4 linked regions of the Mus musculus genome follow. The protein of the gene in region 4 purifies or fractionates together with the protein of the main gene of each other region. This does not show direct contact. Links are inferred from orthologs where the notes say so. Each region holds a gene or a part of one and is shown on either strand. Other genes may lie near its edges. The genes, in order: Exosc5, Exosc3, Exosc9 and Mphosph6.

What was found.
Region 1: the proteins of Mphosph6 (region 4) and Exosc5 purify together in Homo sapiens (affinity purification with mass spectrometry; 6 studies listed by BioGRID and IntAct, with this or other methods). This does not show direct contact. The link is inferred for Mus musculus from reciprocal best matches to the Homo sapiens genes MPHOSPH6 and EXOSC5.
Region 2: the proteins of Mphosph6 (region 4) and Exosc3 purify together in Homo sapiens (affinity purification with mass spectrometry; 6 studies listed by BioGRID and IntAct, counting the BioPlex papers as one, with this or other methods). This does not show direct contact. The link is inferred for Mus musculus from reciprocal best matches to the Homo sapiens genes MPHOSPH6 and EXOSC3.
Region 3: the proteins of Mphosph6 (region 4) and Exosc9 purify together in Homo sapiens (affinity purification with mass spectrometry; 5 studies listed by BioGRID and IntAct, with this or other methods). This does not show direct contact. The link is inferred for Mus musculus from reciprocal best matches to the Homo sapiens genes MPHOSPH6 and EXOSC9.

What each region holds. Positions count from the first base shown.
Region 1 is NC_000073.6:25,656,121-25,664,175, reverse strand, and holds the start of Exosc5 (exosome complex component RRP46), read right to left. Parts: upstream 5,024-8,055; 5' UTR 4,941-5,023; coding exon 4,793-4,940; intron 1,040-4,792; coding exon 926-1,039; intron 1-925. Other genes in the region: Bckdha (2-oxoisovalerate dehydrogenase subunit alpha, mitochondrial), read left to right, coding at 5,436-5,543. UniProt on the Homo sapiens protein: Non-catalytic component of the RNA exosome complex which has 3'->5' exoribonuclease activity and participates in a multitude of cellular RNA processing and degradation events.
Region 2 is NC_000070.6:45,315,237-45,323,324, forward strand, and holds Exosc3 (exosome complex component RRP40), read right to left. Parts: upstream 5,381-8,088; 5' UTR 5,356-5,380; coding exon 5,035-5,355; intron 4,464-5,034; coding exon 4,314-4,463; intron 2,594-4,313; coding exon 2,442-2,593; intron 1,793-2,441; coding exon 1,591-1,792; 3' UTR 1,377-1,590; downstream 1-1,376. UniProt on the Homo sapiens protein: Non-catalytic component of the RNA exosome complex which has 3'->5' exoribonuclease activity and participates in a multitude of cellular RNA processing and degradation events.
Region 3 is NC_000069.6:36,560,582-36,568,155, forward strand, and holds the end of Exosc9 (exosome complex component RRP45), read left to right. Parts: intron 1-521; coding exon 522-610; intron 611-1,436; coding exon 1,437-1,583; intron 1,584-2,491; coding exon 2,492-2,676; intron 2,677-4,283; exon of another isoform or gene 4,284-4,636; coding exon 4,637-4,715; exon of another isoform or gene 4,716-4,847; coding exon 4,848-4,926; 3' UTR 4,927-5,146; downstream 5,147-7,574. Other genes in the region: Ccna2 (cyclin-A2), read right to left, coding at 5,653-5,701, 5,960-6,093, 6,419-6,532, 7,143-7,350. UniProt on the Homo sapiens protein: Non-catalytic component of the RNA exosome complex which has 3'->5' exoribonuclease activity and participates in a multitude of cellular RNA processing and degradation events.
Region 4 is NC_000074.6:117,797,896-117,806,045, forward strand, and holds the start of Mphosph6 (M-phase phosphoprotein 6), read right to left. Parts: upstream 4,080-8,150; 5' UTR 4,008-4,079; coding exon 3,957-4,007; exon of another isoform or gene 3,949-3,956; intron 1,262-3,948; coding exon 1,149-1,261; intron 1-1,148. UniProt on the Homo sapiens protein: RNA-binding protein that associates with the RNA exosome complex. Involved in the 3'-processing of the 7S pre-RNA to the mature 5.8S rRNA and play a role in recruiting the RNA exosome complex to pre-rRNA; this function may include C1D.

The sequences.
Region 1 (8,055 bases), on a different chromosome or scaffold from region 4:
AGTTTCTGAGTAACTCCTGCTATGGCCAACCTTGGCCAGGGGTCTACCAGCCAGCCACCCAAGGAGGAATACCCAGAGGTGCCCATGTCCTGTGCTACTGGCCATATCTACTCTCATCAGAGCAGGCCCATCCCATGACACATGGGGAGAAGTGGTAAAAGGGCAGAAAAACAAGTTAATGGGAAGGAAGAGCGAGGAAGGCAAAAAAGGGAAGAAAGAAAAGGCTCAAGAGAGGGTGGGTCTGGTGGTACAGGTCTGTAATCTCGAGACTTTAGGTTAGGCAGTGGGATCATGAATTTGAGGGCAGCCTAGGTTATAAAGAGAGCTCACTGCCAGCTCAGAGGACTTGAGACCCCGTCTCAAAAAGTTAACAGGGGGGCTGGTGAGATGGCTCAGCAGCGGTTAAGAGCACTGACTGCTCTCCCAAAGGTCCCGAGTTCAAATCCCAGCAACCACATGGTGGCTCACAACCATGAGATCTGACTCCCTCTTCTGGTGTGTCTGAAGACAACTACAGTGTACTTACATATAATAAATAAATAAATCTTAAAAAAAAAAAAAGAGTTAACAGGGCTGGCTACATGGCCTAGCCACATAGCCTTAAATTCACTAGGGAAAAGCTAATGGTGTGGCTCAGAGCTGGAATTCCTGTCTGGAGACCACCAGTGAGGATCTGGGAGGCCTAATCTCAGCAGCAGAGGGCTTGACCGGACTCCACCCTGGAGAGCCTGGGACTGTGGCTTCCTGGAAGTGCATCTGCCCAGCAGGCCTGATGCTCTAGATTCCATTCCAGTGCAGCAGAATCAAAAGCTGGGCAAAGAGGGAGGAGAGCAGGGCAGCAGAGACTGGACACAGCAAGCATCGAGGGGTCAGATGAGGTCCCAACAGACTGGATCTTTTGGGGGGCTCAGTGGAGTCCAGTTACCAGGCAGCCCGATCTTCGGCCTCAGGATCACTTCAAGGGTGGCCTTGTTGAAGATTTCTTTGCTGACCTTCACCTCGGCCGGCCCATAGACTCCAGCCAGGACAGAGGTATCACCTGGGGGAAAGAGGGAGGCCTTGGCCGCTCTGTGCTGCACTTAGCACTTCTTTCCTCTGCTCTCTTAACTTTAAGCAGCTAAGTACCTTCCTCATGGTAAGTTTGTGAAGATCAGGTGACTGTGGCTCACAGAAGCAGGAGGCCCTCAGTCTCCCAACATCACACAAGAAGATGAAATAAATGCCAACTTTAAAGAGACACAGTTCACTTGAAACATATAAGACACTGGCCAGAAGGTGCAGAGCTTACCACAGACTTCAGCCACTGGTTAATTTTTAGAGGTAGCTGGGGTTTGCAGAGATGGCTGGTGGTGTGTGTCAGCATGCACACTGCTCTTCCAGAGGACTAGAATTCAGTTCTCAGCACCCATTATCAGGCTGCTCACAACCACCACGAAACCCAGCTCTAAGGGACTGACACCCTCTTCTGCCTTCATGGGCACTCGCACACACAGCTCTCGCCCACACACGCATATACATATCCCAGTGTTTGGGAGACACACAGGAAGATCAGGAAATCAAAATCATCCTTGGCTCCAATGGTAAGTCTGGGGCTACCCTGAGCTACGGGAGAACATCTCATAAGCCAGCCAAGCAGAAAACAGTTATTAGATGCAATTAAAATATATTAGTAAAATACATTTTAAAAGGACAAACAATAAAGATTGTGAATGTGTAGGGGGTCTTAATTTCTACTTATTTCCCCCAAATGGTTATGAATGGGTCTGGAGACCTCGTGTGACTTTGCTAACGTCCACAGGCGTCAGAGAGGCCACCTACGATGTGAAGGCACTGCATTCAACAGCAGTTTCCATGTTTCTGACTGTAACTCCCAATGCCCACTACACTTTACAGCACAGCTCCAAATCGATAAAATGTATGTGTATAAGTCGGTCAGAGGTTGGGGCTGGAGAGATGGCTCACAACTGTATGTAACCACAGTTCTTGGGAAGATCGTACTCTTCTGTCCTCAGGCACTAGGGACATCCATTTAAAAAAAACAGTTATTTAAAAAACAAGGGCTTAGGAATGTCACTCTGAGGTGGGACATTTATGCAAAGTCCAAAGCAAAAACAAAACAAAACAAAAAAAAAAACAAGATGGCAAAACCAAGATGGCAAGCCTACACAGGCAGCTTCCCCGGCTCTGTAGGTTTTCATCGATGTACTTTCTGAAATCAGGTTCTATATGGTCAAAGCTGGCCCTGACCATGCTATCTATGTAGCTAAGGGAGCAGGGCACGAACTGTTGTTCCTCTGGCCTCTACCAGCCCTCCCTCCCCCCGTACTGGGATTAGGGGTTTTGTACCATCAGGTGTTTTTGGTTTGTTTGTTTGTTTTTGCCTTTAAGGTAAGCTACTGTGCCGGCTAGTTGCTTCTTTTGCTTTGCATTTTGTCAACTTAGCCATACCTGGAAAGAGGAAACTCAAATGAGGAATTGCCTCCATCAGACTGGCCTGCAGGCAGGTCTGTGGGGGCATTTTCTTTTTCTTGAGACAGGGTCTTGCTGCATGATCCTGTAGGGCATTTTAGTGATCAACAACTGATATAGAAGGGCCCCCACTCACTGTGGGCAGCGCCACCACTGGGCAGGTGGTCCTAGGTTATCTATGAAAGCAGGCTGAACAAGCCATGAAAAGCCAGGTTCTGCCACGTTGATTCTGGTTATGTCCTTGTCACAGCAAGAGACTCCTAGTGAGGACAAATGTCAAGTAATAGGGATATTGTGTCATTATCATACATACACATCATTTGCACTGCTTGCCTGCCGCAGCCACAGCCCCCTCCATCGGGTGTTCTTACAGGAGCCTTTGAGGTCAGAAGTGTCTGCAACATTCTTTTTGAAAGTCTGCCAAGTCTCCAGCTTGCACTAGGGCCCTGTGAGTTTAGGGTTTTAGAACATGGGAAGGTTCCCTCTCTATTTCTTATATCCCAAGAGATAGGGGAGGCTGATTTCAGCAATGAGCTAAGCTGAGAGCCAGCCTGGGATGAGAACACTAAACATCTGTGGGTGCTTCTCCAATGAAACCAGAGGTAACCCAATAGACTCAGGTGCTTACTAGAGCTACATTCCTGTACTGCTAGATAGACTGTGCTCTCAGCGAGCAAGGGAGTCTCTTTCTTCCCACCATCTCGATGATGTGGCTGCAGAAATTCTCTTCTTTTCCCCCTAGTATTTATTTTACTTTTTAAGTTATGTGTGTGTGTGTGTGTGTGTGTGTGTGTGTGTGTGTGTATAGTTCCCTGCAGAGGCCATAACAGGGCTTCCAATATCCTGGCTCCCCACAAGTTACAAGTGCTTGAAAGCTGCCTGAATGGGTGCTGGGAACTCAACTTTGTTCTCTGTAAGAGAAACCATTTCTCCAGCCCCGAGCTGTCTCCCCTTTTTTTTTTTCCCCAAGACAGGGTTTCCTGGCTGTCCTGGAACTCCCTCTATAGACCAGGCTGGCCTCAAACTCATAGAGACCCTGCATCTGTGTCTCAAGTGCTGGGACTAACGGTGTGTGCCACCACTGACCTGCCAGTTTTCTCCTTTCTTAAGCTCTATCAGTCGTCAGCTCTTGCCCCATCTATCTGATTCCTTCGCAGGAAAATGCCTGGAGACTTGTCTCAACTGTTTTTTTTCTCGCTCTTTCTGACCCACCACTATAAGCAATGACCTCTAGCTTATTAGCCATAAGGTGATCAGCCTTTAACATCTCAAACAAACTCACCATTGTCAACTCTGTCTCTGCCCTCTCATCTGTCTACTCTGGTAGTTTCTCACCCTCTCATGACCTCTCAAAGTTGGCTGGCCCGACTGGGATATAGGGTTGTGTGGGTCTCAGCCACAAGACTTCTCTTTTCTCCCTATTCATTTAGTCTGATGAAATGTGTATACCAAGGAAAGGCACGTTTTCTTAAATGATGGGACCGGGGAAGGGGAGATGCTTCTCAGCCCAGGATGGGAAGATCACATTTAATTTGAAGAGCACTTACTTAGATGTATCATCTGCCACAGTAATTATATTTAAACCAGTGGTGGTGATGTGTCTGTCTCAAAGGGTATTTATGCAAATAAACACCTTAGCCTCAACCGGTGATGTATGGATCTAGAAGTGTTTTTTAAGAAATCTAGTCAAAGCCAGGCGTGGTGGCGCACGCCTTTAATCCCAGCACTCGGGAGGCAGAAGCAGGCGGATTTCTGAGTTCAAGGCCAGCCTGGTCTACAAAGTGAGTTCAACAACAAAGTGAAAACAACAACAACAACAACAACAACAAAAACCCAAGAAATCTAGTCAAGGGGAGCTGGAGAGATGGCTCAGTGGTTATGAGCACTGACTGCTCTTCCAAAGGTCCTGAGTTGAATTCCCAGCAACCACATGGTGGCTCACAGCCATCTGTAACGGGATCTGATGCCCTCTTCTGGTGTGTCTGAAGACAGCTACAGTGCTCTTATATAAATAAAATAAGTCTTGAAAGAAAGATAAAAGAAAGAAAGAAATCTAGAGAAGGGTAATATCTGCCTTGGTGAAATACCTATTCTGGGATAGTCACTCTTATGAGAGTGGTCTTGCTCTCGATCTCCTCTGAGAGGGATTTACCAGGCTGGCCAACTCATTTCTTCTCGAGACGGGAGGTGGGTATACTCAACATCTAGAAATAAGTTCAAGGAGGCGGGCGTACTTGGTTACATACTACACAGTAACCGCTCTTCAAAAACCCTTCTTCGGTGAGGATGGCGCGCGCTGAGTTAAACTTGGTGAGGCTCGTACCTTGAAGAAAAGAAGCAGATCCATCCGGCCGGGACAGCAGGTTTTGCTCACAAGCAAAGTGCCGGAGACTGCAGACTGGACTTCGGGGGCTGGACTCTGTTCCGGTGTCAGTGAGTAAATTGGCGTCTGCACGCTTTGCGCCCTCCATAGCCGCTGACCACGCGCGCTGCGGCTCCCACCGTAGCTTCCGCTTAGCGGCGCGCGCAGTTCTACCGGCCGCGTACCTATTGCGCATGCGCCCGTCTAGGGCACGCCCGAGTTGGCCCTAGCACGTGGCTCAGCGTTTACTAACAATCTGGTCCCGCCCACCTCCACCTCCCAATTCTGGCATAGCCATTGGACAACAGGGAACAGGGGGAGGGACTTGGAGAGGGCCCATTTTGCTCAGGGCTCCGGGTCCTGAACCCTGAAGGTTCAAGTTAAGTTGTCCTTTTAGTTGCCTGAATTAGGAGCAACTAGAAGCAGACGACCGGAGCAATTTTAGAGACTAAAAATTGCCACCTTACTCATTTATGCGTCTTTGTCGCAAGGTGGTTAGAAGCAGATAGCGTGTTGGCCTAGCGGTGCTGCTATTTGAATAAGGCATCTGGTGGGACAGCCGTATGTCTATCCTGTGAGAAAGGAGGAGTGGTTATTAGCCAAGATGGCGATAGTGATGTCTGCGGCCAAGATCTGGAGGCCGAGCCGTGGCCTGCGCCAGGCTGCTCTTCTCCTGTTGGGACGATCTGGGGTTCGGGGCTTGGCTAGATCTGTGAGTATCTGAGCCCCACGGGGTCTTTCTTAGGGAGAAATAGAGACGTAAAAGTTATTCTTACATTGTGTGAGACACCGCGGGCTGTGAAGGAAAGAAAGAAAAGGTCCGAGAAACTTCTTGAAGAGAAATTCAAGGGAAGAATCCCTTTAGAGGAAAAGCAAGGCAGCTACTTGTGGGCCTCGATAGAAGGAGACGAGACGGGGGTTGAAAGGACAGATCAGGTTTTCATAGGGTCCTACATTGCTTAAATTCCAACTGTAAAGGGAGTTGAGCAAGAAACTGGTTTGATTCCTATGCCACCTGATCAAAAGGCAAGGCAAGGGACTTTGCCATGACTGTCCTTTACACAAGATGATTATGAAGGGAGACAAAGAGAGCTACAAGTTCAAACAGGACCCTTTGCCCACGTTATTTTTTTGAGACAGGATCTCACCCACGAGTCCGGAATGGCCTTTAGCTCACCCAGATGCTTAGACAGGCATCGAACTGGAGATAGTCCTGTCCCAGCCTCCCAAGTACTGGCATTACAGATGTAAGCTACGGTGCTTGGCTGCCCACTTTTCTTGAAAACACTGGAGAAAACTCGGAATTCCCTTTTGATCCATTGTTGATAAGGGCAGGATAACACTTCCAAAATCTGTTGCGGTCTGGCAATGTACCACCACAGTGTAGAATGCTTGCCTAGCACGCGCCACGTCCAGAGTTTGGCTCCTAGCCCTGTGTGTTTGTTTATCTGGATATGGCGACACATGTCTGTAATTTCAGCGCTTGGGAAGTAGGAGAGGAGGCATTTGAGGCCAGGTTGAGTTACGTGAGACCCTATCTCAAAAAAAAAAAAAAAAGATTTTTAAAAATGGTTTACTTATTTTTATTTCACGTGCATTGTTGTTTGGTCTGCATGAAGATGTTGGATTCTGTAGAACTTGAGTTGCGTACATACAGACAGTTTTGGACTGCCATATGGGTCCTGGGAATTGAACCCAATTCCTCTGGAAGAGCAGCCAGTGCTCTTAGTCACTGAGCCATCTCCCTGCACCCCCCAAAAGATTCTTTTTAAAAAGAATAGGACCTGGTGTGGTGATGTATGCTTTTGATTCCAGCACTTAGGCAAACAGATCTCTGTGAGTACCAGGCCAGGGCTACATTGTGAAACTGTGTCTTTTTCTCTTTTTCATTTATTTATTTATTCACTCCACATCCCGATATCAGCTCCCCCTCTCCTCCCAGCCCCTCCCCCCCCCTTACAGCTACTCTTCCTGTTCCTTTCCCCCTTCTCCTTTGGAAAGGGGGAGCTTCTATCACCTCCCCAGCACATCAAATCATTGAAGTACCATACACCAACGCTAGACAAGGTGGTCCAGCCAGGGGAAAAGAATCCACAGGCAGGCAACAGGTTCAGAGACAGCCCCCATTCCAGTTATTGGGGGACCCACATAAGAACAAGCCACACAAGTGTGTGTGTGTGTGTGTGTCCAGGTCCAGCCAGTGCTCATTCTTTAGTTGGTGGTTCAGTCACTGAGAGCCCCCCCCCCCCCAGAATCCACGTTAGTTGACTCTGTGGTCTTCCTGTGAAGCCACCATCCTCCCCTGGGCCCCCAGTCCTTCCCCCAACTCCTCCACAAGACTCCCCAGGCTCCCTCCATGTACTGCTTGGCGGGGGTGGGGGTGGGGGGGGGTGGGGGGGGGTGTCTCTGAATCTGTTTCCATCTGCTGCTGAGTGTAGCTATTCCAGGCTCCTGCCTGGAAGTATAACAAAACATCATTAACAGCCTCAGGGATCGGCTCCTGCCCGTGGGATGGGTCCCAGTCATTGGTCAGTCATTCCCTCTATCTCTGCTCCATCCATGTCCCTGCACATCTCGCAGGCAAGACACATCCTGGGTCAAGGGTTTTGTGGGTGGGTCCCTCCACTGGGAGTCCTGCCTGGCCACAGGCAGTGGCCACTTCAGGTGCCATATTCTCAGAGTCGTCCCCATAGACTCCCTGGGGCCTCTCCCACCCCACCCCCAGGACTCTGGCACATTGTAAAGACAACTCAACCCCCACCCTACCTCTGCTGCCAATTTCCATCGACTTCCCTGCTCTCCCTGCACCTGATCCCCCTGTCCTGTTCCTCTCTGTGAATTACAGGCCAGTCTGGTCTACGTAGAGTTTCAGGAGCTATAGAGTGAGACAGTCTCTTACAAAAGAAAAATTTTGTTGGTAATACCTGGTTAGAGGGCTTTGAAGTAAATTTCCAGTGGAAACAGGTCTGGTTAAGTGGATGGGGTCTAGAGCTGGACCACGTGATTTTTGCCTCTCTGCTCTGCCACTTTCCAATTGTGTGGCTTGGGCCAGGAACTGTACCTTGTGCCTCTCCATACACTGCCAGTATTGGGCACTTCCTAGGGTTGCTGTGGAAATACCAGCTTGTCAGCAGTACAGATTGGACCCGGTACAAAAGGGCAGTAGGACTGTCTGACTTATATTAGTGGTGAGGACCAAGACCACAGAGATTGGGAGAGGGAAA
Region 2 (8,088 bases), on a different chromosome or scaffold from region 4:
AAGCCATTAGTGGCAAGGACCACATTTTATGTTGTCACCCACAATGCCTAACTCACTGAAAATGCCCTGATAAAACATATTATGGTTTAAAAAAAAAGCTTGTGTTAAGTAATTGCCAAAATACATGTCATTCTGGGTGTTAATTCATGCTTTGTACATTCATCTGTTTGTGAAAGGTCTACTTTTAAAGTTGTTTAAATGATTGTCTGAACTTTTCATTTAACTTACATAAAATTATTTTTGTCACCTGAAATGTGCCGATTTCCACCAGCTCAGACATATGCTGCAACAAGCTCTGCTGTCCTAGCCCCGCCTGGCCCGCACTACTTTACGTTTAGAGTACTTGGTTCTTTCCTGTGGCTCTCACCCTGTTCTTGTTCTGACTATAGTCATGGAGGGCTCCTCTCCTCTAGTCTTTGTAAATAGCTTTGTGTAGCCTTGAGCTTAGACAAGCCAAGTGCTCTGGACAAATATATACCCCAAGTTAATAAAAACAAAAGTAATTATTGATAAATCCAACATAAAGCAGCCAAAAAAGGTTGCTGCATTCTGACAGAGAAGCATACTGATCCACCTTCTGTGTTACTCTTATTGCAGGATAGGCAAGGCCTCAGGGAAGCCCTTTAAGGGACTGGGCCACATAGGCTTCAGGGGTCCATAACTCATTCTCAGAGGTCTGACTGAACTGAGAACCCCTCAGCTCTTACCACCTGCCAGCCTACACTTTTCCCTGTGGAGGTTTTACCATAACGTAGATAGCACAGAATCTTCCTCCAACTCTAAACACTCCTCTTTATCCAAAACCTGAGCTCGTAGGTTTTTAAGATTGTGGGAATTCTGTTAAATGATGTTTAGCCAGCCTTGGATTAAAAATCTTCATCATACTATTACATCTAAGGAAAAAAAAACTGAATATATATAAAAAATACTAATTATGAAGTGAAATATTTGTAATTACTGAAGTTTTTTATAATAGCCATGAAAGAAATATATCCTGTTTGGACCAGACAGAGTATAAGTTACAACAACTTTTAACTCCAATTTGAAAAACATACACACACAGTGGTTAAACTTCAGGCCATGTTACAGTCTGTGCCTCAGTATCTTTGAGTGTTCTCTGCAGTTACCAGCAATGAGAATTCCTGGTAACTGTGTGAAACACTTGGGACAATACTTCTCACACAGTGAGTGCTTAAGTATGAGCTACTGTGTACTCTTCCACTGGCTTCTGGGATTACAGACGGGTTTATTCTTTGCTTTCATTAATGTGTTCAACATTCCCTCTGGCAAGGAAGGCTTACGATTATAACCAGAAAACAGGTTTAGTGTTGCATTCCAGCTCACTTTAGAAGCTGTACTGTAGAACTACAAATATAGACACTACCAACAAAGTTTATTATATAAAAGTTTTTATAATTTTCTCATCTATACATGATTGACAACCAGTATCTCTTACAAAAATATTTTATTCAATTCTAGTAAAATAATATGCTTCTTCTAAAGATCTGCCAGGAAGAAATTCACCTGGAAAAAAAAATTTCCCCAGGAAACTCAGTCTTGACTAAAATATCCATTAAGAAAATTTATATGTCAACTCTCTGCCAGTCTGGCAAAGATCTGTTTTCTTTGCTCTGTTGTCATGTGTTCACAAGCTTCTAAGACATTTGCTAAAATTAACGTCTGCTGAATGGTCTTAGCTTTGACCCATATTCTTCCATTCATTCCAAACACAATCTCCAATGGATAGAGTTTTCCCAGCTCTTGCACAATTTCACAATCTGGAGCTAATAGCCTGTTAGGAAAGATGAAAGAAAATGAAATTTAATAAAGTGTATGTTCTGGGTCTCCTAAACAAGGTTCCTTTTCTGGAATTTCTTTCTGAGTGGCTCTCTGTGACTACGCAAAGTCCGCTCAGCATCGTCCCAAAACAAGACTTGATGTCTCTGCTGCTTTGATGTCTCTGCCCGGTCTTGAGCACATGCACGTGTGTGCGCGCGCGCGCGCACACACACACACGCACACACACACACACACACACACACACACACACACACACACAATGCCTCTGTATTTGGAGAGGAAGTCTACCTAGGTCATGTAAACTAAGTCTCAGATTTGTAGGTGTGAGAACGCTCCTGCCTTCCCGAGTAGCTGGGACACAGTGCCCAGCTCAGTGCCCCTTTCACGGTAGGCTGGTCACACTTTGGTAGTAGGCCCCATTTTTTACAAATATACATGCAGCACAGATTTGACTCAGTGGCTTGTCTTTAAAAAGGGCAAACTTAGGAGACAGGGTGGAGAGGGGAGGAAAGTGGGGAAGGAACCTGGAAGGAGTTACAGAGAATGGGGAGCAAGTATGACCAACAAAACACCATTACGAAATTCTCAGAGTAAACAGGTCATTAAAGAAGGCAGGGCAGTTAATAAGCAGCATAACCTACTTTCTAATTAAGCCCAACGTCACTTTGAAGAGCAGGCCATCCTGCCCAATCACACCCATCCCATTGGCGCGGCCACAGCTGTCAATGCAGACCATCTCTGGTTCCATGTCTTTATTAGCGACCACACACTGGCCATAGATGAGATCTCCAACCTGTAAGATTAAAACCAAAGTTCAGTTCCCTTCATCCAGACAACCTACAGCTGCTGCTGCTGGTTCTGATCCATGGGCAAGAATGCCAGGGACCCACAGCTGTCACACTAAGGGACTGATGGTCCTCAGAATTCAGCCCTCCCACCACACACCATGAAACCCTCCAACCAGGAGCCATTCCAAGGCCTAAGAACAATCTTCAAGACTGTACTGCCCAACTTACATGTAGTTTAATTTAGCCTTGTATCTACTTAACATATATAAAATTCCACTCTTCAACAGTTCAGCTGCTCAGCAGCCACACGTAACTAGTGGTAACTGCACACGTCAGTGTGGATATAAAAACAAACAGCATCACCGGAGAATGTTCTATCAGTACTAACAAATTACATGTTTGTCTAGAGGAAAAAAACTCATGATATCCATATTCAAAAGAAAACAGGACAATGGTAATTCAGATACTACTTCATGGAAAATTTGCTTTAAAATGTTACAAAACTGAACTTTAAAATGAAGCTAAGGAAACAATAAATTTGTTCTCTTCAACATTAAAAATACCCACTGTTGAGCTGGAGATGGCTCGTGGGCTAAGAGTACTTACTGCTCTTGTAGGGGACCCAGCTTTGGTTTCTAGCACCCGTGTAGCTGCTCACAACCTGTCATAACTCAAGTTTCAGGGGACCTGACCTTCCTGTCTGACCTCCACAAGAAGCTGTCACACAGCGTGCAAAAACATACATGTAGGCACACTTTCCTGTGCATACTTTAAAAATGCCTTGTAAGTCCCCACTGTTGTGGGTGATTACAAAACCTAGCGGGAATCATTACACCTTTTCCGGCTTCCTGGGCATGTGGTCCTGCACAGGGCAATGAGAATGAACCCAGTGTGTGGTGAATATGCAGGACAAGTGACGATGAGACAGTCATCAACTCAGTCAGCCTGGACCTCAAAGGTGATGTCTCCTAGGGCTGAGGACACAGCTCCAAACAGGAACACCATTAATAAAGACCCAAGGGAAGGAAACAAAGCCCAGTTACACTGTGAAGCTTAAATATGGTTCCATGAAGTAACAGAAACCACGAGGAAAGACCCCTGAGTACAATGCTCTCTGTGTGATTTGAACAATCCTTTTTTTAATGAGATTTTTTTTTTTAATGAGTTCATAAGATTGTTGCCCGCTCCTGTCAAAAGTGAGACAAAGGGGTTGGCATACAAAAGATAAGAGAAGGAACAAATAAGATTGAGTGACTAAAGACCCTTGAGAGTTGAAGAAAAAGCAGCAGAGAGGCCAGCACATTTCTGGCTCAGGTGTTCAGGAAGAACATGGCTAAACTACCCAGAAAGCCCAACCTGAAAACCTACAGAAACAAGATTACTCTTCTGTCAGCTCCAGCTCCAAGGATTTAGAGCCATGATGAACAGATAGCCAATAGTGCCCATGGCCCTTAGACTAGGGCCATTTTCCTCATGGGGTGGATTCAGACATGACAGGTAAGGAGGGGGATAGCAGATGTAACTCTTCAACCCGGTAGAAAAGAACCAAGGCTGCAAACATGACATACAGCAATACTTCTGGAGCCGCAGCGCCTGAGAAACTCTTATAAACTGTCTTGGAGAACTGGTTTATGCTTTGAAGACAATTCAAGTAGCCCTCTGGATAGTTAACTTTCTCGGGAGTGGATATTTTTTCTTGTTGAAACCAAAGACTCCCATTATTACCTGCACATTTGGTCTGTTTCTTTTAGTTGCCCCTTCAAATGCCAGGTAAGACAAAGACGCTGGCTCACTCCCTCCAACATCAACTTTGAATATATCTCCAGATTTAGCGATCACTATGCCAATCACGTGGTCCCCTTTCACAGGTACATACTAAAAGCAGAATGAAAGAACAGTCATAAATAATACAAATATCATTACAAAATATCTTCTGAAACTTTCATCTAGGTTGATCAGGGTGGGTCTCAACCTATCCAGCCAACTCATACTCCCCATGTAGCTGCAACTACAAAACCGGCCCGCACCAGTCCAACTTTATGAACGTCTAATTCACACTTGATCAAGTTTCAAGTTTTCTCAGCATCCTTTACAAGTCTGGTGGCACAAGAATCTTTACATTCAAGGAAACCCACTCCATTTGACATTATTCCTAAGTGAAAGCTCTTAATTATTCTATGGGAATTTTAATTCCCTGTGATTTATTTGGACTCATTGCAACTGGGACACCAAATGGCAACCCCGAGGCTTTGGGTTTTTCAAGACAAGATCTCACGGAACCTTTCTCTCCTGTCACCCTTCTCAGGATGTGTTCCTATTGTGGTTCCTCTAAAGAAGATGCAGAGAGGGGGCTAGAAGCCACCGCGGCTCTAGATTCGCCTTAACCTATGATCGCTTGCAGGGGGCCCACTTTCGCGGCAGCGCCGCCTCTCCGACATCCGCTCACCCGCTTCTGCTGCGAGTCCACCCAGTAAACGCCGCCGCCGCCTCCGCTGGGCTCCTTGTGACGCAGGCGGCCACACTTGGTGACCAGCAGACGGTCCCCGCAGCGTCGCAAACCTGGGCCACACACTACGCGCAGCCTCGGGCGCGCACCCGCATTCAGGCGTAACGGCTGCTCCCCGGCGCCGCCAAGGCCGTCTACGTCCTCGTGGTCCGGCAGCACCAGCTCCTCCCCGGGGAGAACCACCTGATTCAGCACCTTGTGCACGGCCCGTGCTCGGCAGCCCGCCACCGACTCCGGTCCCGCGGACAGTACTTCAGCCATGGCAGGCGTCACCATCGCAGCTTCCGGTATCTACTTCCGCTTCCGCTACCCGCCCACCAGGGTCATCTCTTTCCGGTGGTTGTGGGCTTTCTGAGTTGGACTTGAGCTTGGGAGATACTCGCTTCATCCCATGGGTGCTACTCCCTGCCCTGTGTCTGTAGCTTCACGGTACCTAATGTAACAATCTCCCACCTCCTCCCACACACATCACACCTTTTCACCTACTTGAGTTCATCTCTTCAGTGGCTTGGGAACATCGGTAACTCAGGAATTCTCCCAGCTACTTCTTTGGGAGCACACTAACAGCTATGTGAGAAACTGTTAAATCCAAAACCCACAATGTGCAAGAACTTAAGAACTTACAGTTTTCTGACTTTGGGGTTATCTGTGAAACCAGCGTTTCTCTGTCGGCATCTTCAATGAGTAATTGATTCAGTTCTCCAACAGCACTGAAGGCCTTGGCATTGACTGAGATCAGTTGCTTGATGCTTTGCTGCCAACTCGAGTTTATAGATTTTTTTTTTAGGGAAGGGGCATCACAATTCCTGCAAATTTGGTAAAATGCTGGCAAGCCATTTAATCCCTGGATATAAGGGACAACTGAAATACAAGTGCCCCAGCCAAGTTGTTAATTAGTGCTATTGAAAGACTGAGAGTAAGACTCCGAGGTAGGCAGATAAGGAGAGGAGCCACGGCTAGGTAACAGGTGATGAATTGTCAAGTTGGCTAACTTCTTCCTCAACCTCAACCTCCTAACTCAATACAAGCTTAGCAGCCTCAAAAAAAGGCTGTGTAGGCTTTTGTGTAGAGGGTAGGAGGGCATGTGCTTCCAGGTAGTCCTATAGAAACCAGAATTGTTAAACATGCAGATCTTTTTCTTCAATGGAAGAAATTGACAGCTATTCACTTGGAAGGCTGGAATGGAGGTTGTTGAATACCAGGTAATTTTACCATTCTGTGGAGCTAGCTCTCACCTGAATCCCCCTTTTCCTGAGCATTTCCAGTCCATAGACTCCATCCTTATAAGAGAGATCTCATGGATTTGAAAAAGAGTTTGCTATTATGATTATAAAAACCTTTCCTCCCTAGGCTCTTCTCCTGAGCATGTTTTCTCAGTCAACAGAACCCACTCTTGTGGAAGAGGTCATGGTGCTTTTCAAGAAAACATGCACTTTGCAAGGGAGTTTAGATATAACCGTGTCCTAAGCTTTGTGGTAATAGTTGTCACAAGAAAACCTTTTTTTTTTTCTTTTGAAAGTTTTACTGTTTAAATAAGTAATAAATAAATAAATAAAAATAAACTGGAGTCAGACTCCCGAAGTTTGTACCAGCCCGGCTAAGTCATGCTGAACCACGTTTACTTCTTACTTTCTGGGGATCCGCTGGCAGCAGAGCTTGCAGGGACCCCCACACTTTTAACTCTCACCTGCAACAACAGCAAGCCCCCTGCTGATGGGCCGGTTGAACAAGTTCAAGGCCTGCACAGGACACATTACACAACAGTTCTGGCCTAATTCACCATCAATTCTTTATTCAAATCGACCAACCCTACATTTGGGGGAGGGGGGGGGGAGAGACTCTTCAAAGACTTTAAAAACGCCAGTTCTCCAGAAAAGATTGGATTTGGGGTGCTGAATCCCCTATGTATTTTGAAAAGGGTCTTTTTCTTGGTGTCCAGTTTGTGGTTTTCTTCACTCCTCATAAAGAGCTTTCTTCAACAGCTGATTATGTCGTCTGCATTTGAGAGGTTTCTGCTTCCACCTGTCGAGCGCCATTTTTTTTCCTTTCAAGCCCCCTAGACTGTACCACTTGGTTAGTCTCTCACAGAGAGACGTTCTCTGGGCAGAGGTAAATTATGCTTCTTTCTTCCTTTATAACTCAGGTCTCAAAAAACGATAGGTATTCTGTGACTAACCAACCAAGCCCACTTTAATTCAATGGCTCAATGCTATGCCTTTGGTGTATTCAGTGATGTCAGGCCTCTGAAAGGTGGAGAAGGAGAATGAACGTTGCTCATTCTCAGGACTGGTCCTCAGCACCTACCCTAGGTAGTTTGGAGTTTCCCAAGGAAATAGAATACAAAATCTAGGGCAGGAGCCATACCCGGTGCACTTCTTTTAGCAAAGGGGCAGGAGGTAGCCCACGCGTGGATTCAGAAAACAAAGGAGGCTAAGTCATTGGAGACTCAAGGCCAGAAAAGGCGGGCCCTTGCAAGCACCACCCACCGGACACGCCCGCGAGGGCCTCGAGCTGGAAGGCTTGTCGCCTGAGCCCTGCCAAGTTTGTACTTCGAATCCTCAGGTTCCTGCGGTAGCGCACCTGCGTGCAGTTAAGAGTCTGTCTCAAAGCATCCTGGCTTATAACCTCTTCGGAATTCAGCAGCAAGAGGGATACTCTGGATTCGGGAGTGGTGATAGTCATGAAGTCTCGAAACGACAGGAGGTCTTTTTTAATGGTGGTGTAAATGGCTGTGGCCGTTGGAGAATAAAGAGAACACTAAAAGACAGTATAGGCCATGTGGGTACCTCTTTCTCAGTCTGGCTTGTGCAACTTTTCCCTGAGTTGCCCAGGTAGACTCAGCTGCGTCTATATTGAGTTTGCAGTGGAGGCCATTTGGGGGTTTGAGTACCACAGGCCTTCATCCCTACTTAGGCAGCCGAGTGTTACCACCCTGAAAAACTGGATCTCAACCGAAGCTTTTCAAGCTTTTCCTAGATGTCTTAGTTTCTCTGT
Region 3 (7,574 bases), on a different chromosome or scaffold from region 4:
AGGATCACATGGAGGATATTAGAAAATAGAGTGCCGTGTAACGTCTACTATAAATATTAAATACTAGGGAGAGGCGTTAAGTCATATTGTAACTGAAGTTTATAGCTTTTGGACAAATGACTTGTCTCTGGGTCTCATTGTATCTGTATATTAGGAAATTATTTTATTACTGGCACCATAGAATAGAAGCAACTGAAGTGTTTGTGTGTAAGGGTCTGAATACCAGGTGCTCAGCGAATGTCATTTCCATATTGTCCCCAGCACCATTGGTATAGGATTGCAACCACTATTGATTCCTGTGGATTATTGTCACAGAAAGGAAGCCTGTATTCCTGAGCACACTTTATCTGTGATCTCTGTAATTTATATATATTGTCTTACTTGTGTTTATTGCGCCTTAATTTGGTATTTGGAAAAGAAATGCTTAAACATTAAAGGTAGAAAATTGATGTCATGGTTTTGGGTTCATTTAAAAAAAGCTGTTTGATTTGTTGTCTGTAACATCCTGTATTTGTAAACAGGTTTTCAGATGCAGTAAAATAGCTGGTGTGAAAGTAGCAGAAATCACAGAGCTAATACAGAAAGCTTTGGAAAATGACCAGAGAGTCAGGTAAGTATCATTTTTCAAAATTATATGCTCTTTAAATTCATGTTTTATGAGATTTTCTCATCCAAGGGCAGCCATATAATTTCGTGCTTGCTCTTTAGTTAATCTCAGTTGTACATACTAGTGTTTAGTTGAGACTTTATTCTGAAAAGTTACAGAAGTGTCTTCTTTAAAAGTTAATATGTTCTTATGAAAGAAGAATCTAATAAATTAATAGAACAAACATGCTGGTTTGCCGCTCAACTTCCTGTTACTTTAAGCAACTTCATGTTCTTCTTCTGTGGGAGCTGTGCCTTCCCCTACAGCTGACTTGAGAACTGGAGAATATACTTCAAGTACCTCACGCATGTGCAGCCGAGTTCCAAACAATCGTTATGATGACTTTTATGTCTCGGTTACTGTGGTAGTATTCTAGTGGTAAGGGACCTGGCATTAGGCTTCTTCACTACCCATGTAGCATTCTCTTAGTCATGGAACTCACCCAGAGCCAAGGAGCTACAGCAGATCCAGAGGAATACTGATGTCAGCCCACAGGCCTATGCTTAGCTACGTTTCTTAGACAGCCCAGGACCACCTGTCCAGGGAATGGTGCCCCTCACAGTGGTGTGAGCCCTCTTCCGTAATTAACAGTCAGGATACTCCCTCACTGATAGTTTTTGGTCTGGTCAAGGCCTCCCTTCTCAAGTGACTCTAGGCTGTGTCAAGTTTAGTTAAAGCTATCAAAAGTCTAGTAATGAAGCAAGTCTATTTACCTATCAAGGACAAAAATTAATTTTTTTCTTTTGTCTTTTTATCTTCAAAACCACCACTACCAAAATTCCATCTACAGGAAAGAAGGTGGAAAATTTGGCTTTGCAGAGTCTATAGCAAACCAAAGAATCACAGCGTTTAAAATGGAGACGGCCCCTATTGATACCTCCAACATAGAGGAGAGAGCAGAAGAAATTATTGCTGAAGCTGAACCTCCCCCAGAAGTGTAAGTGTATCTTTATTGGGTGGGTTTGTTTTTTTTTTTTAAGATTTATTTTATTAATATATGTAAGTACACTGTAGCTGTCTTCAGACACTCCAGAAGAGGGAGTCAGATCTTGTTACAGATGGTTGTGAGCCACCATGTGGTTGCTGGGACTTGAACTTTGGACCTTCGGAAGAGCAGTCGGGTGCTCTTACCCACTGAGCCATCTCACCAGCCCCTATTGGGTGGGTTTTACAGTAATCAGATGCATAAGTTTTTTGTTTTGTTTTGTTTCTTTAAGGCTAGAGTGTACATATTGAAGTTTGTTTTGGGGGACCCCATACTATAAGAGAAAAATATGCCAAACTGAGTTAATAATGTAACATCTAGCTTCTCTTCCCTATCTAAAAATCGTACATTTTTCTATTTTAAGAACCAACTAGCCAGGCGTGGTGGCGCGCACCTTTAATCCCAGCACTTGGGAGGCAGAGGCAGGCGGATTTCTGAGTTCGAGGCCAGACTGGTCTACAGAGTGAGTTCTAGGACAGCCAGGGCTATGCAGAGAATCTCTGTCTTGGAAAAAAAAAAACCCAACTAAAAGCTGGGGGATGTAGATCATTGGTGCTGCACTTTTCTAGCTGTTTATGGCCCTGGGTTCCATTTCACCACTGTAAGAAAATACAAACCAAAGCCAGCATTCATTTCCCTTTGAGAAATGGTACTTCAGTGTTAATGACATGGCCAAGTTCTTTATGCATTGTTATATAATCTTGAGATCATGTGCAGTTATGTTATTTAGCAGTCCATAGTATATTAATTCCTAAGAATTTATGGAACACATGAAACAGTCTTCCAGGAAATCTGATCTCTTCTTGGTAGCTCATTAAATAACAGTGTTTTGGATATTCAGTTTTCTTAACTTGTTAAAGTGTTTCTCAACCTGTGCTGTGGACTCCTGGAACTGCCCAGATTGGAGACGGAATAGAAAACTCCTGGGGTGACCTTGAAGATTCTGAGAAGGAAGAGGAAGAGGAGGAAGGTGGCATTGATGAAGCTGTCATTCTTGATGATACAAAGATGGACACTGGAGAAGTTTCTGATATTGGGAGTCAAGGTAGGTGATGCTTTTAATGTGTACAGAGACAGCCACAATTGAGATATTTAAACTATAGACAAAGTTTTGTATGGAGATTATAGATCATACATAGGGATATTTCTTGTTTTGGAAGGCTAAATATTTTAGCATTGAAACTAAATTTTAATTAAACGATTGAATAGAAATATTAATACCAGTTGTAAAGAATGTTTTTATTTTTGTAAACTGGTGGTATGCTTTGGCATACTAGTGATATTTTGAACAATTTTTTAAAATTACATGTAGCCAGGTGTGGTGGCATACGCCTTTGATCCCAGCACTGTGGAGAGGCATAGGCAGGAACATTTCTACATAGGGAGTTTCAGGCAGCAGGATTAGAGATCCTGTCTCAAAAACAAACAAAAATATGTCCATGGGCACTTAAAGATTTTTCTTAAAGATTTCTTTCCTGCCAACAGCCTTGTTTAGTTTGATTCAAATATAAAAAAGCTCATGAAATAGGCCAGAGAGATGGTTCAGCTCTGGAGACACTTGAAGCTCAATCACAATAATCCAGTACTCTCTATAATTCTAGCTCCAAGAAACTGATGCCATCTTCTGGCCTCTGTGGATGCTAGCACGCACACACAGAGATACTGCACAGTAGAATTTTCTGTGGTAAGAAATTATGTACATTGGCTAGGGTAGCAGCTTCACCTATTGAACAATTTTTTTTTTTAAATTTATTATACCTAAGTACACGTAACTGACTTTAGACACACCAGAAGAGGGCATCAGATCTCATTACGAGTGGTTGTCAGCCACCATGTGGCTGCTGGGATTTGAACTCAGGACCTTCAGAAGAGCAGTCAGTACTCTTCTCAGTTAGTTCTGAGCCATCTCACCAGCCCACTATTGAACATTTTAAGTGTGGCTTATCTGAGTTAGTATGGCCACATTGGTATGTTAGAATGTGGGAAACTTTAGAAGCCCCCAGAAAGGTCTTATGTATATGTGTGTGCTCCAGTATGCCAGGGCATGCATAGGGAGTTCAGAGGAACTTGCTGGAGTCCCAGGAAGTTGTGAGCAGCTCAGTATGGATGCCAGGAACCAAACTCTGGTTCTTTTGTAGGTACATGCTTTTAAAGACGTCACTAAATGTGTGCTACCTATGTATGAAATGAGTGCCTTGAAGGCTAGAGTCAGGCATCAAATCTGGAGTTGCAGGCAATTGTGAGCTGCCCCCATGTGAGTGCTATTCCCTGAACTCATAGCAGTATGCACTGTTAACAGAAGGGAATTGCTACTTACAGCCTTTTGGTGGTATTGTTTTGGCAGGGGAACAATGTTGGTTTAACCAGATAAATGAGTAAATTAAAGATCCTAATTAATTAGGACTATTAAATGCTGCATAGAGAATCATCCAGTTGGTTTAATCATCAGTAATGCTTTTTCTTATCTTCTCACTATTACGGTGCTAGTATATCTTTGCACTTGTATATCTCTTTTCATAGAGGCTTTTTGTTTGTGGTTTTAAGAACCCTGAGCAATGAAAGTGGACCTAAAATAAGTAGGACAGTGAAGAAGGTAGAGCTTTCCTAAAACATGTGAATAAAGATGAGACAACACACAGCCCACCAAATGGGTAAAGGGTTAATTTGCATGCTTTATTTACACACATATATAATTACTGTTCAAGAGAAAAATGGGCAAACAAAGCAGTTTTCTACATTTTTCATGGGCAGTCCTGGTAGCAAGAATTAGAGCATTCTGGCCTACATGTCCTCTGGGGAAAAAGGAAAGAAAGAGTTTATAGAAAACATCAATTTTTACAAATTTTCAGAGCTGCAAGGAGCTACTTACTTAGAACAGGGTAAGATTCGGAAAGAGTGTCAGCCTCCGGGCAGTAGAGCTTGGGAGCTCCCTTAGCCTGGAGATGGGAGCGTTAGGACCTCTGATGTGCTTAAGCAGTAAACTCCTTTTTTGGACTTTTCCAAAGGTGCCCCTATAGTGCTATCAGATAGTGAAGAAGAAGAAATGATTATTTTGGAGCCAGAGAAGAACCCAAAGAAAATAAGGTAACAAATTTCTGGCCTCTTTCAAATATACATTAAAAGCTGGTTCTATAAAATGGGGCACCTTTCAGAGTCCCAGTGACCCAATCCAGGACAGATGGGATACAGTGAGCTGTTATATTACTTCATTCACAGAGCTCAGACCAGTGCAAACCAGAAGGCACCAAGTAAAGGCCAAGGGAAAAGGAAGAAGAAGAAGAGAACTGCTAACTAAGCTAAAGTGGTGGATCTCTGTGTGTGTGTGTGTGTATACATACTCAGTGCTAACAGCTCTGGGTATCTTACAAGCTGAACTTCTTGATACACTGTTTGTCTTTAACATTATGCTTTGAATAAACTTTCTGGAAAACTTTTCTGTTGCACAAGCTTCCCAACTCATGTAAGACCTTATTTGTTAAAGTTGATAAATAAAATGTCTCCATAAACTACTGTAACATCTGAGAGCCGAATGAGTTCTGCTACATTGAAAACAGTTTGTCTACTTTTGGTTATTTATGAACAAGTCAGCAGTTTGGTTTGGTTGCTTAGAATAATCAATCAATGCCAGAATTTGAAGGTCTTTTTCCCTGAAATATTTTAGTTTTATAAAATCTTTTCCTACTCCCCACTGTACAATAAAACAAATCAAGTTAGTTTCTAAACGACATCATTCATATTTTTATCTCAGATTAACTTTGACTTGCAAAGATTTCCAAATCAGTTTATTCTCAATATCTTGACAGTTGGCAGCACCAATGTTAACCAATTAAAATTATCCAAATAGACACATGTACAAAAGATATACAAATTAAAACCATTTTAAAAGCAATGGATACCATAATTTGTCTGTGGCTATACCATCTACATTCAGAAGTGATTGTGAAACTAAAACCCGACATAAAAACTGTACAGCATGGACTCCGAGCGACTCCTGTTTCAAACAAAGCCGGCAGTCTTTCACTCACACACTTAGTGTCTCTGGTGGGTTGAGAAGAGAAACACTGTGATATCTGTTGAGCAGAGAAAAAAAAAACTTTTAGTAAACATTCATTGGGGAGATTACAGAACAATTCATGTACCCCAAGACTGGAGAAATGCTACTTTTACTTGATTATGAATTTAAAAACATTTGATACGTAGAGCACATACATCTGCCCCCTTACCCTTCTCTTACCAGAAGCAAAGGCACAAAAGCTTCCTAATACATGACTTAAGAGCCAACTGAGGTAGTGGCAGGTTACTGTATTCAACAAGAATTGGATTCTTACTTTGAATGCTTGTACTTTTCCCGTATTGACTGTTGGGCATGTTGTGGCGCTTTGAGGTAGGTCTGGTGAAGGTCCACAAGACAAGGCTTAAGACTCTCCAGGGTATATCCAGTCTGTTGTGCCAATGACTCAGGCTAGGGAAGGGACAACCATTGAGTTTTTTGTAACAGCACAGGGCACTGACCACAAGCTCACAGTTGATCTAAATATTGGCACTAATCATTGACAGGATGTTTTGTTATTTCTAAATGTTGCTCCCTCCTCAATTCTTCACTCAGGGTGTCCCCCCTGTTTCAGCTCACTCACTCCATCTTTTATTTTGGCTGTTTACTTCCCCTGCTTGCAGCAGGTGGAAGGCTCAGATTCTTGAAGCAGAGCTTTCAGTGCACCTTTACAGCTAAGCTTTCAGCCCAAATCAAAGCGGCACCCATACTGGAGAAGGCAACTGGTAATACACACCCAGCTCTGTCCTGTGACTGTGTAGAGAGCCAAGTGGAAGGCAGCTCCAGCAATGAGTGAAGGCAGGTACTTAAGGTACGGGTCAGCATCTATCAAACTCAGTTCTCCCAAAAACTGAAATAAAAAACAAAACAAAACCCCAACTTTTATAATCACACATAAGACTCAAGATTTTGAATCCTTGCTTCCTGACCAGTTTCCATTGTCTTGGATCTCACTGGTTCTGTATCAGCCCTGGGAAAATTATTTCAATGTTTTCCTCTATTCTCAGCTTACATTTCTCTCCCCTAATATACTAGGTTGTTCTCTTTAAGCCACTAGTTAGCGCCTTTCCAGCATGGTCACTTTTGTGTATTCATTGGGAAGTTCTCTCCTGAACCTCTCAGCCCCTATCCATGGACACTAGATACTTAAATCTCTTACATATAAAAGATGCATGCTATTTTCATAAGTTAATGCTATATACATAGAATATCACTGAATTACTTGTAAAACAAAATAGACAATACACATATGATTGGTGTGTGCTTATCCAGTACATGGGCAGCTACGTTTAATGCCTGTTTATTATACCATAAGTGCAGAGCCCACAGGTAGAGAGGGCCATAGCATTTTCTGTGTATTGGAGCATTAACTGTCCGAAAAGACTTAAGCAGTGTTATTTGACGAAACCAGTGCTTGCCCCTTAATTGCAACCTAAAAACAACCCCCAAACTGGACTTACCATTGCTAAGCTTTCAACCTTACAGTTTGCAGGCTGCAGGTGCAGGAAGTACTGGGTAAGGAACTGATTTACTGTTGGTGCAGCCAAGTCAAAAGCAAGGACTTTCAATACTAGGTGCTCCATTCTCAGAACCTGCTTCTTGGAATAGGTATCGTCTGTAATATACACAAACTCTGCTACTTCTGGGGGGTATATTTCTTCAAACTTCCTATAACAAAAGCAGTTGTGAGTGAGTTTATTCAGAAGGTCTTGTCTTAATCTGAAGTGCAAAGACTGTAGACTCCACTCACTTCCATCAACCACATCCCACTGACAGCTGACTGACATCTCTAGCTGAGATGGTTAAAACCAATTCAAAGGCCCAAGTCACTAAAGGACTTCTGATTCGCCCCCTGCATACAATATCTCCTGATAGAAGGAAGATACAGCTTA
Region 4 (8,150 bases):
TTAAGTACAAGGATTAGACCCAGTCCCTCTTAACTGTTATTTTAATCTGACCTGAGATGTTTAAGCCTTTTACTTTGTAAGGAACAGATTTAAGAGGGTGGTTTTCAGGTGACAGACAATCTAAAGCCAGGTGCAGAACTATAGTCTTTTAAGTTAGGATGGAAGACAGTGTTCAAAATGTTGGACTGGACATTGGGTCTATCTTATACCATATAATTTACAAAAATGGTAGTAGTTGCGCTTAATTTATATTTTGAGAAATTTATATTTTTTAAATTAAACAGAAAGGGTGAAATGTTGCAGGATTTTCCCTGTCCAATCACATTAGGACAGTGGGAAGCCTGTGATTGGACAGGAGAAGGGAGGTGGAGCTATGAGTTGGGGAGATACAGAGGTCTCAGGAGGAGAAGCCAACATGGAGGCAGAGGGACTGTCAGGAGGAGAAGCCAAAATGGAGGCAGAGGGACTGGAAGAAGATCCTGATCCCGTGTGGTTTTAAACAGCCACAGGTAGCTAAGATTTTCACAAGGTTAGAATAACTGGGGTAAAGGCTTTATCATTATCAGTTGGCTCTGAAAGTATTGTAATTGGCTTCTTGTAAATTGTGATTTCTATTGTTATATAAATCTGATTAGGTAATTAAGCTTTAAGAGTCATGATTTGCTGGGTGGTAGTGGCGCACGCCTTTAATCCCAGCACTTGGGAGGCAGAAGCAGGCGGATTACTGAGTTCGAGGCCAGCCTGGTCTACAAAGTGAGTGCCAGGACACTCACAGAGTGTCCCTGTGTACACAGAGAAACCCTGTCTTGAAAAAAACCAAAAAACCCCAAAACAACAACAACAACAACAACAAAGTCTTGATTCTACCTGGTAATTAGGTGGGGTGTGCGGAGCATTGAGTGGAAGTGAGAAGAACTGGGCTGGGGGAGGGGAGGTGTATTCTAGAGATGGCCCGGCTGGAGCCCTGTGGCCTCAAGGGGCCAGAGAGACATGAGCTCACGTGGCGCAGGGGCCAACTCCAGAGAGTTGGAGGCTGCAGGAGCGTGGCCTGGCCCCCGCTGAGAGTTTGTCTTAATATTTCCCGCAACACTCCTCATCTGTATTAGCCTCCCCCACCTTCCCCTCCCCCATGAACCCCAGTCACCTACTCCTTCTCCTTCAACTCCGGCAAATCCAGGTACCAGTGCTCGTCGCTGATCATCTTCCGCTCCTCCTCTTCTAGCTGTTTCTTGGTTTCCGAGTCCAGGCCTCTTTGCATGAACTGTTAAGACAGGAGCAAGCCCGTGTCAGTGCCCTGGCTCATGGGTGGCCAGCCATAGGTACCAGGGCACCCGGCAGACAAACGACTCCCTGAGTACCAGTGACCCTTGGATTAGTGACCCTGTGGTTCAAAGTACAGGTGCCTCACACGGCCCCTTACATTCTTGGTGGCAAAACCTGACTAACTGCCTCCTATCTTCAATTTCGCCTTAGCGGATACATGAAGGCACACAGTCAGTCAGTCACCCACATCTACACTGGACAGAGGATAAGAACATGGCTGTGAACCAAGCATGTCTAGGGTTCGGAAGACCTCAGAACACACTCTAAAACTAGCAATTTCACCTCCCTCAAAACTGAGGGTTCAGAGCAGACTCTGGGAAACTATAGCTCTCCAGCTCCATCAGTAACTGTCTAGGGTTTTTTGTTTGTTTGCTTGTTTATTTCTTAAGGTTTCCCAGATAGGATTTCACTGTGTAGCCCTGTCTGTCCTGGAACTCAGGATGTAGACCAGGTTGGCCTTGAACGCAAGAGATCCACCTGCCTCACAGGCCTCTTCAGTGCTGGGATTAATGAAGCATTGCTGTATGATGTTTTCTATAAACTTGGGTTTTTCCTCTGGGCCCCAAGCTCCCATAAATAACAACTCTGAGACTCAAATATATTTACAAATACCTAGGCCAGATAGCATCCCAGCTCAGCTTGCACTCAAAGCTCATGGGGGAATGCTCACTCCCCGGCCCTCGACACAGCACCCGTTTATGCCTTCCTTCCTTTTCTTGGAAACACGTTCTCTAAGAGAGTTTTCATTTCACCATAAGCACTGACAGACCACAACTTCACATGGTGAGGCTTAATGAATCAAATCACCTTTAAGATGGTGGGGATCTGCTACCACCCATTAGAAACACTACTAGGAATGCTGTTTCCTGGGCTAGCCATATGTAAGAGGAGACTCTATTAGGCTGCTGGGGCACAGTGGGCCACAGCTCCCAGACAGCTACACCATCCTGGGGTAAGCTACTGAAACTCTATAGTGTACTGTGTAGCTAAACTATACCGCTTGGTAGGTAGGACAGCTCTGTTAAACACATGTTTATAATACTGTTGAGTCAGGCGTTGTAATCAAGCTCCCCGTGTGTTAGAGACAGGTGCTACAGGCTAATCATTACAAGCAGAAGCTCTGGGGCCAGATGACCAGTCTTTTCAGCTGTTACTTCTGTCTCAGATACCTCAGGTGTCAGAGATGACAACTGTAACTCCTTCAAATGTTACTATGTGAATTAAGTGGTTCAGTATATACACGGAGAACAATGCCGGAATATTGGGAGGACCGTGAATACGTTCTATTAGTATTATTTAAGCTTCAAGAGTTAGCTTTTCCCTGTCTTAACTCCTGTGTTCATCCGCTTTTAACCCCTTTTAAATTGTGGTTAAGCTGCTTCTGTTTTAATGATGTCTGAGACAGGGTCTCATATCCAGCTCAGGCTGGCCACAAATTAAGCTCCTGCCTCCACCTCCCAAGTGCTGGGATTACAAATGTGTGCCATCAAAGCCACTTCAGCTGGCTCAACTTCAAATTTAAAAATCATGGGCTGGGGAAGTTGGCTCAGTGGCTAAGAGCACCCTTGACTCTTGCCTAAGTCCTGGTACTCATACCTGCTGACTTAAAACTCCAGTTTCAGGGGCTCCAACACTCTCTTCTGGCCTTCGCAGGCACCTGAACACACATGGTATATATACAGCTATGCATGCACACACACAAAGGGAAACTCATTTTGTTTAAAAGTTAGTGGAGAACTCATTTCACCCCACTAACATTTTCTCCATTCCCACCACGAAGACAACCTTCACCCAGAACACAGGAACTTTTTTAGCTCATCCTTTTGGCTGTGAGCTTTCACGTTGTTGGGCTGGGCCTTTCTGATTAACCATCATCCACAGTTCAGTTAAAGTGGCCTTAAAAAAACAATAACTAGCCAGGCGTGGTGGCGCACGCCTTTAATCCCAGCACTTGGGAGAGGCAGAGGCAGGCAAATTTCTGAGTTCGAGGCCAGCCTGGTCTACAGAGTGAGTTCCAGGACAGCCAGGGCTACACAGAGAAACCCTGTCTCGACCCCCCCCCCCCCCAACAAACAAACAAACAAACAAAAAGCAATTAACTCAGAAAACAGTTTCCTCCTGCTCATGAGGCAACAGGAACAAAACTTCAGCCTGGCTTACAATTCCTTGGATGTGTGACCACTAAGATTTCCAGCCTCATTTTATGCTCCTTGTCTTTCAGACGTCCGAGCTACCTTTAGTTCTTTGCAACGTCCCTGATTTTCTCCTTCTTAGCTTCTGGACTCACTTTCCCTCAGTTTAGGACACTACCTGCCATCCCTCACGTTGTTCCTCCTTAGGGACCACTTCTCGCGAGAAGTCTAACTTCCCAGGCGGCCCAGACACTAAAGCCACCACAGCACTCAACTCTGCAGGCTCTGATGAACGTTGTGCAGGCTCCCTCCCCACATCAGGCTAAGCAAAATCTCACCCCTGGTGCCCAAAGGCCCGCAGGCTGAGCGAATGAATGGGGTGCGCTGGCCGCGGCCATCCCGAGCCAGTCTGCCCATCGCTTCGGCCCGAGTCCCACTACGGAACATCTCGGAGCTCAGCAGCCTCCCCGCCCGACAACCCAGCATTCCCGACCTCAGCACCTTCATGCGCAGCAGGTTCTTGGATAACTTAGTCTTGCGCTCCGACGCCATGTTGGACGCACTTGCAGAGGCTTTCCCGCCGCACTGCGCTTGCGCACGGTCAAGAGCGGAGCTAGATAAGACGACGCTCTAGACCCGCCCGGGCCACGTCGCTTACAGGCGTGGCAGAGCTTTAGCTCCGCCCCCGCGCCGTTGCCACGCCCCCGATTAGGCACACCCATCGCGCTGCCCCGCCCTAGTGCTCGGAGCTGCTTCTGGCTTCTCCAGCTCCCGGAGCGCGTCTCTCCGCAAAGAGCTGTGGTAAGAGCTCGGGCCACCGCGGGGCGACTGCGATTCAGGGTCCCAGGGCTAAACTCAGGAAAGGCGGATTAAGGGGAGGACGCTGGAGCTGTAGGCGGGGCCTCCACGACACCCGAGGACTCCCTAACGACCCGGTCTGGAAGTTCCTTGCTGAGGTCCTAGCTGAGGCCGCTGAGGTTGCTGCCAGAGTTTAAAAGTTTTAAAAATACGAATGGTGGCTTTCTATGAAGCGTGTTTTCTAGAACTCTCAGTAGCCCTGAGCCGCTGGTGTCGCTATGCTCTGTCCCAGAGTGAAGGAGGTGGTCACAAACCCAGGCTGCGTGATAGCTGTAGGGCTGCACACAAACCGTGGAAGACTGATGAATATGCATACACCTGTTCGCTGTGCATCTTGGAGCCTGAAGGATTTCCTTCTGGAATGGGAAGAATGGCAGGAACTAGCAAGAGCTGTACGCAAGGCGACAACTTGTGAAGGGGCCAGGGGTGGTTTAATGGGTGAAAACACTTGCTGCCAAGCCCGAGGAGGACATGAGTTTGATCCCCGGGACCCCCGTGATGGAAGGGCAGAATGGACTTCCACAAGTTGTGGTGCCGTACCTCGTAAGTATACGGAAGGACACATCACTGGCATGTAATAAGCAACCCGCTGGAGAAGTGGTAAAGTCGAGATTCATAAAGCATTCCGGATATTAAACGCCCTGCAGGTTTTCTCAGTGGAGTAAATAAAGACATAATGTGTTAAGTGGTTACAGAAACACATTTACTCATAACTGTCAGTGAGACATGGGTGAGCACCAAGGGGCTAAAGACACATTCCCACCCTTTCCTGGAGCTACATTAGAAAGCAGTAAATACCGTGGAAGGAAGAAAATGGCTGCAGCCAGTGACTTTTAGGGTCACTTTAAATTTAATCCAGGGTGGCCCTCTTCAGATCAAAGTGGGAAGGCTTGAAAGTCAAGAAAATATCGTTATATGAAGCCTTGGTGGTAGAATGTACCAAAAATAAAAAATAAAATAAATAAAAATCCTGCTATCTTGTTACCGGACTAACCATATATGGCAGACTTATGTCTCCTTCCATTCAAATACTGAAGTCCTGACCCCCATTATTTCAAAATGTGACTGTGTTTGGAGACAGGGCTTTTCAAGAGACAACCTTTAGGACGAACCCACATCCAGTGTGGCTGGTAGCCTTTCTTCCCCTGTGCTGTAGACGAAACCTACAGCCACACACTAAGCTTACCACTTAGCTAAATCTTCAGCCTCCTGTCATAAGATGAAAACTTCTGAGTGCACCAGAGGTGTGTGTGCTAAAAGAAAGACCATTTACACGCCAAGGAAAGAAGCCCCAGAGAAGCCAAAACTACTACTACCTTGGTCATGACTATAAGAAATACATGTAGCCGACACCCAACACCCCCTCCCACCCCACCCCTGTAGTATTTCATTATGGTGACCATAGAAAAATGAAGTATCATGTAACTATAAGTTACAGTTGTGACAAGAGCTTGCTGACCAAAGATGGCATAGCAAGAGTCCCTGAGCCTCTCTGGCCTGGCAAAGGCAGTGTATCCCAAATGGTATGACATTTAATTGTTTCAATAATCCCTTGTTTTCTTAGCTCCCACCCCTTGTTACCCCTCTGGCTTATGGTGTTGTGTTTTATTTTGATATTCCACCCCACCCTAAATTTTCACTCTAGACACTCCAGTGATGCCCCTCCTATAAAAAGAAAAAGGAGGATTTGTGGGATGTGAAGCTATGCTAAAAGGTTTGGTAAGGTAGAGCAGGTTGAGACCCGGAGACTTGGTGGGCACACACCTGAGACTTAGTCGACTTCCACTCCTGGCCTTGTTTTACATCCTACAAGTTAGCCAAGGACTAGTTAGTCCTCCCAGTCATTCCCAGGGCTGTGTGCTGTAGCTGCAGGTCACCCACTCCCCATTTTGCAAATCTGAAACTCTACCAAGCAAACAGTACACAATCATACCTGCTAATCCACTTCCTAGAATTCTGACCTTGGCTACTGTGTAGGATTTTGAAAGAAGTGCCTGAGGACAGAGGAGAAGAAAAGGTGACTTAATCTCCAGGAAGCTCGAGGGTGTCTGAGTTAACTCTTGAAGGATGAGTCCTTTTGGGTTAAGAAGAGGAAAACATCGTCCTTTGTGGATGTAATAGCATGTGTACAACCATCAACGGCTGGCCAAGCTCCATAACTTCATTCAGACCTCCATTATTTCTAGTCTACTTGAGCACTGGGTTTTGATTTGTTTCCCCGAAACAGGGATGCTATTGTCTCAATTCTTCAGCACTCGTTTGAGAGATAAAGACCAAAGTTTTCAAGCAGTCAACTAAAAACATTCTGTATTTTTATTTGGTGTTGCAAATACTTAAAACGAATACCCAAAAGTCCTACCTCTCCAAATGTAATACATGAGTAGTAATTTAAGACTAATAGTGTAATTGTGGCTTTGAATTGCTCCCCACAGGGAAGATAACTCCTTAATCTTTTGATGGTACTAGATTATAGAACACAGGATAGATGCTCTACTCAATAACATGTTGTGATTAAATACAATAAAGAAATCACTGTTTTGTGGTCAGAAATATCCTAAGTAGGTCTTCACATGGTTCCGAGTCATGTCATGATGAAGTTGGTTGGGATTGTAAAGGCCAACTACTGGATCCATCAAGAAGAGGACTCCTCTCTCCATATTGAGTCCTCCCACCCTTTCTCTCCATGTCTGCAGTACTGACTTCAGAGCTGCTGTGGCAGCACACACCTTCCCCGTGCGGGAGCTGGGGGAGAAGAGTCTGGGGCCTGCAGAGGATGCTCTCATGCAGAGATTGAGGCAGATGGTATATTAAGTCCCACTTGCTACTTTTGCTTGTTTGTTTCCAAGTACCAGTTATGAAGGGGCATACACAAAACAGATTTATTGGGATACCCCGTAGTTCCTAGAGTTGACGAGGGGGCTTAAGAACAAAGGGAAAAAAAAAGGGCAGCAGCCAGGACCACCAAGGAATCTTGGAAGCAGGGATGAATGTAAACTGTCACTGGGTGAACACCAGCAGATTTCTCAGCTCTTAAGGCACTCTGCTCACAATTTCAAAGTCAAGGAGGGTCTCCATTTGTCCTGGTTTAGGGTAGGACTTGATTTATAATCCCAGCGGGAGGCGAGAGACTTCATAGTGGGGAGAGTAATGCTTCAAAGAGAAGTCCTGCCTTTCCTCCAAGAAGAGACAGTCATTGTGTTCGCCCAAAATGGCAGTGGCAAGGACAGACACCCAAATGAGGCAGGGAAGGGGAGGGCGTTGTTGAGACAGTCCTAGAGGAATTTAAGTGTTGATTGGGAGGCGCATAATATCCAATATCAAGTCTGTCTCTCCTCACAAATTGTGCTCCTTCTTCCTGCTTCCCTGACTCATTCATTAAACAGGTACTTACCGGCTGGCTGGCTGTCAGGAACATGCAAATTGTGAGTCCAGGGCAACCCACCTCAAACCTGAAGCAGTGCAGTGCGTCCTCCTGCTCTCCTAATAGGTTACTTATTAAGTTCTGTCGGCTACTTGTGCAGAGGTATAGACATGGTTTCACAGGCTTTATGGATAAGTACTTTCTTTTTAATTTTAAGGATATATTTATTCATTTTATGTTTATGAGTACAGTGAAGCTGCCTTTAGACACACCAGAAGAGGGAATTATATGCATTACAGATGGTTGTGAACCACCATGTGGGTGCTGGGAGTTGAACTCAGAACCTCTAGAAGAGCAATCAGTGCTCTTAACCTCTGAGCCATCTCTCCAGCCCCCAGGACACGTACTTTCTAAACATGTCTTGACCCTGGAAACTAAATGACTGGAATACACAGAGGAAATTAAAGCATGTTAAA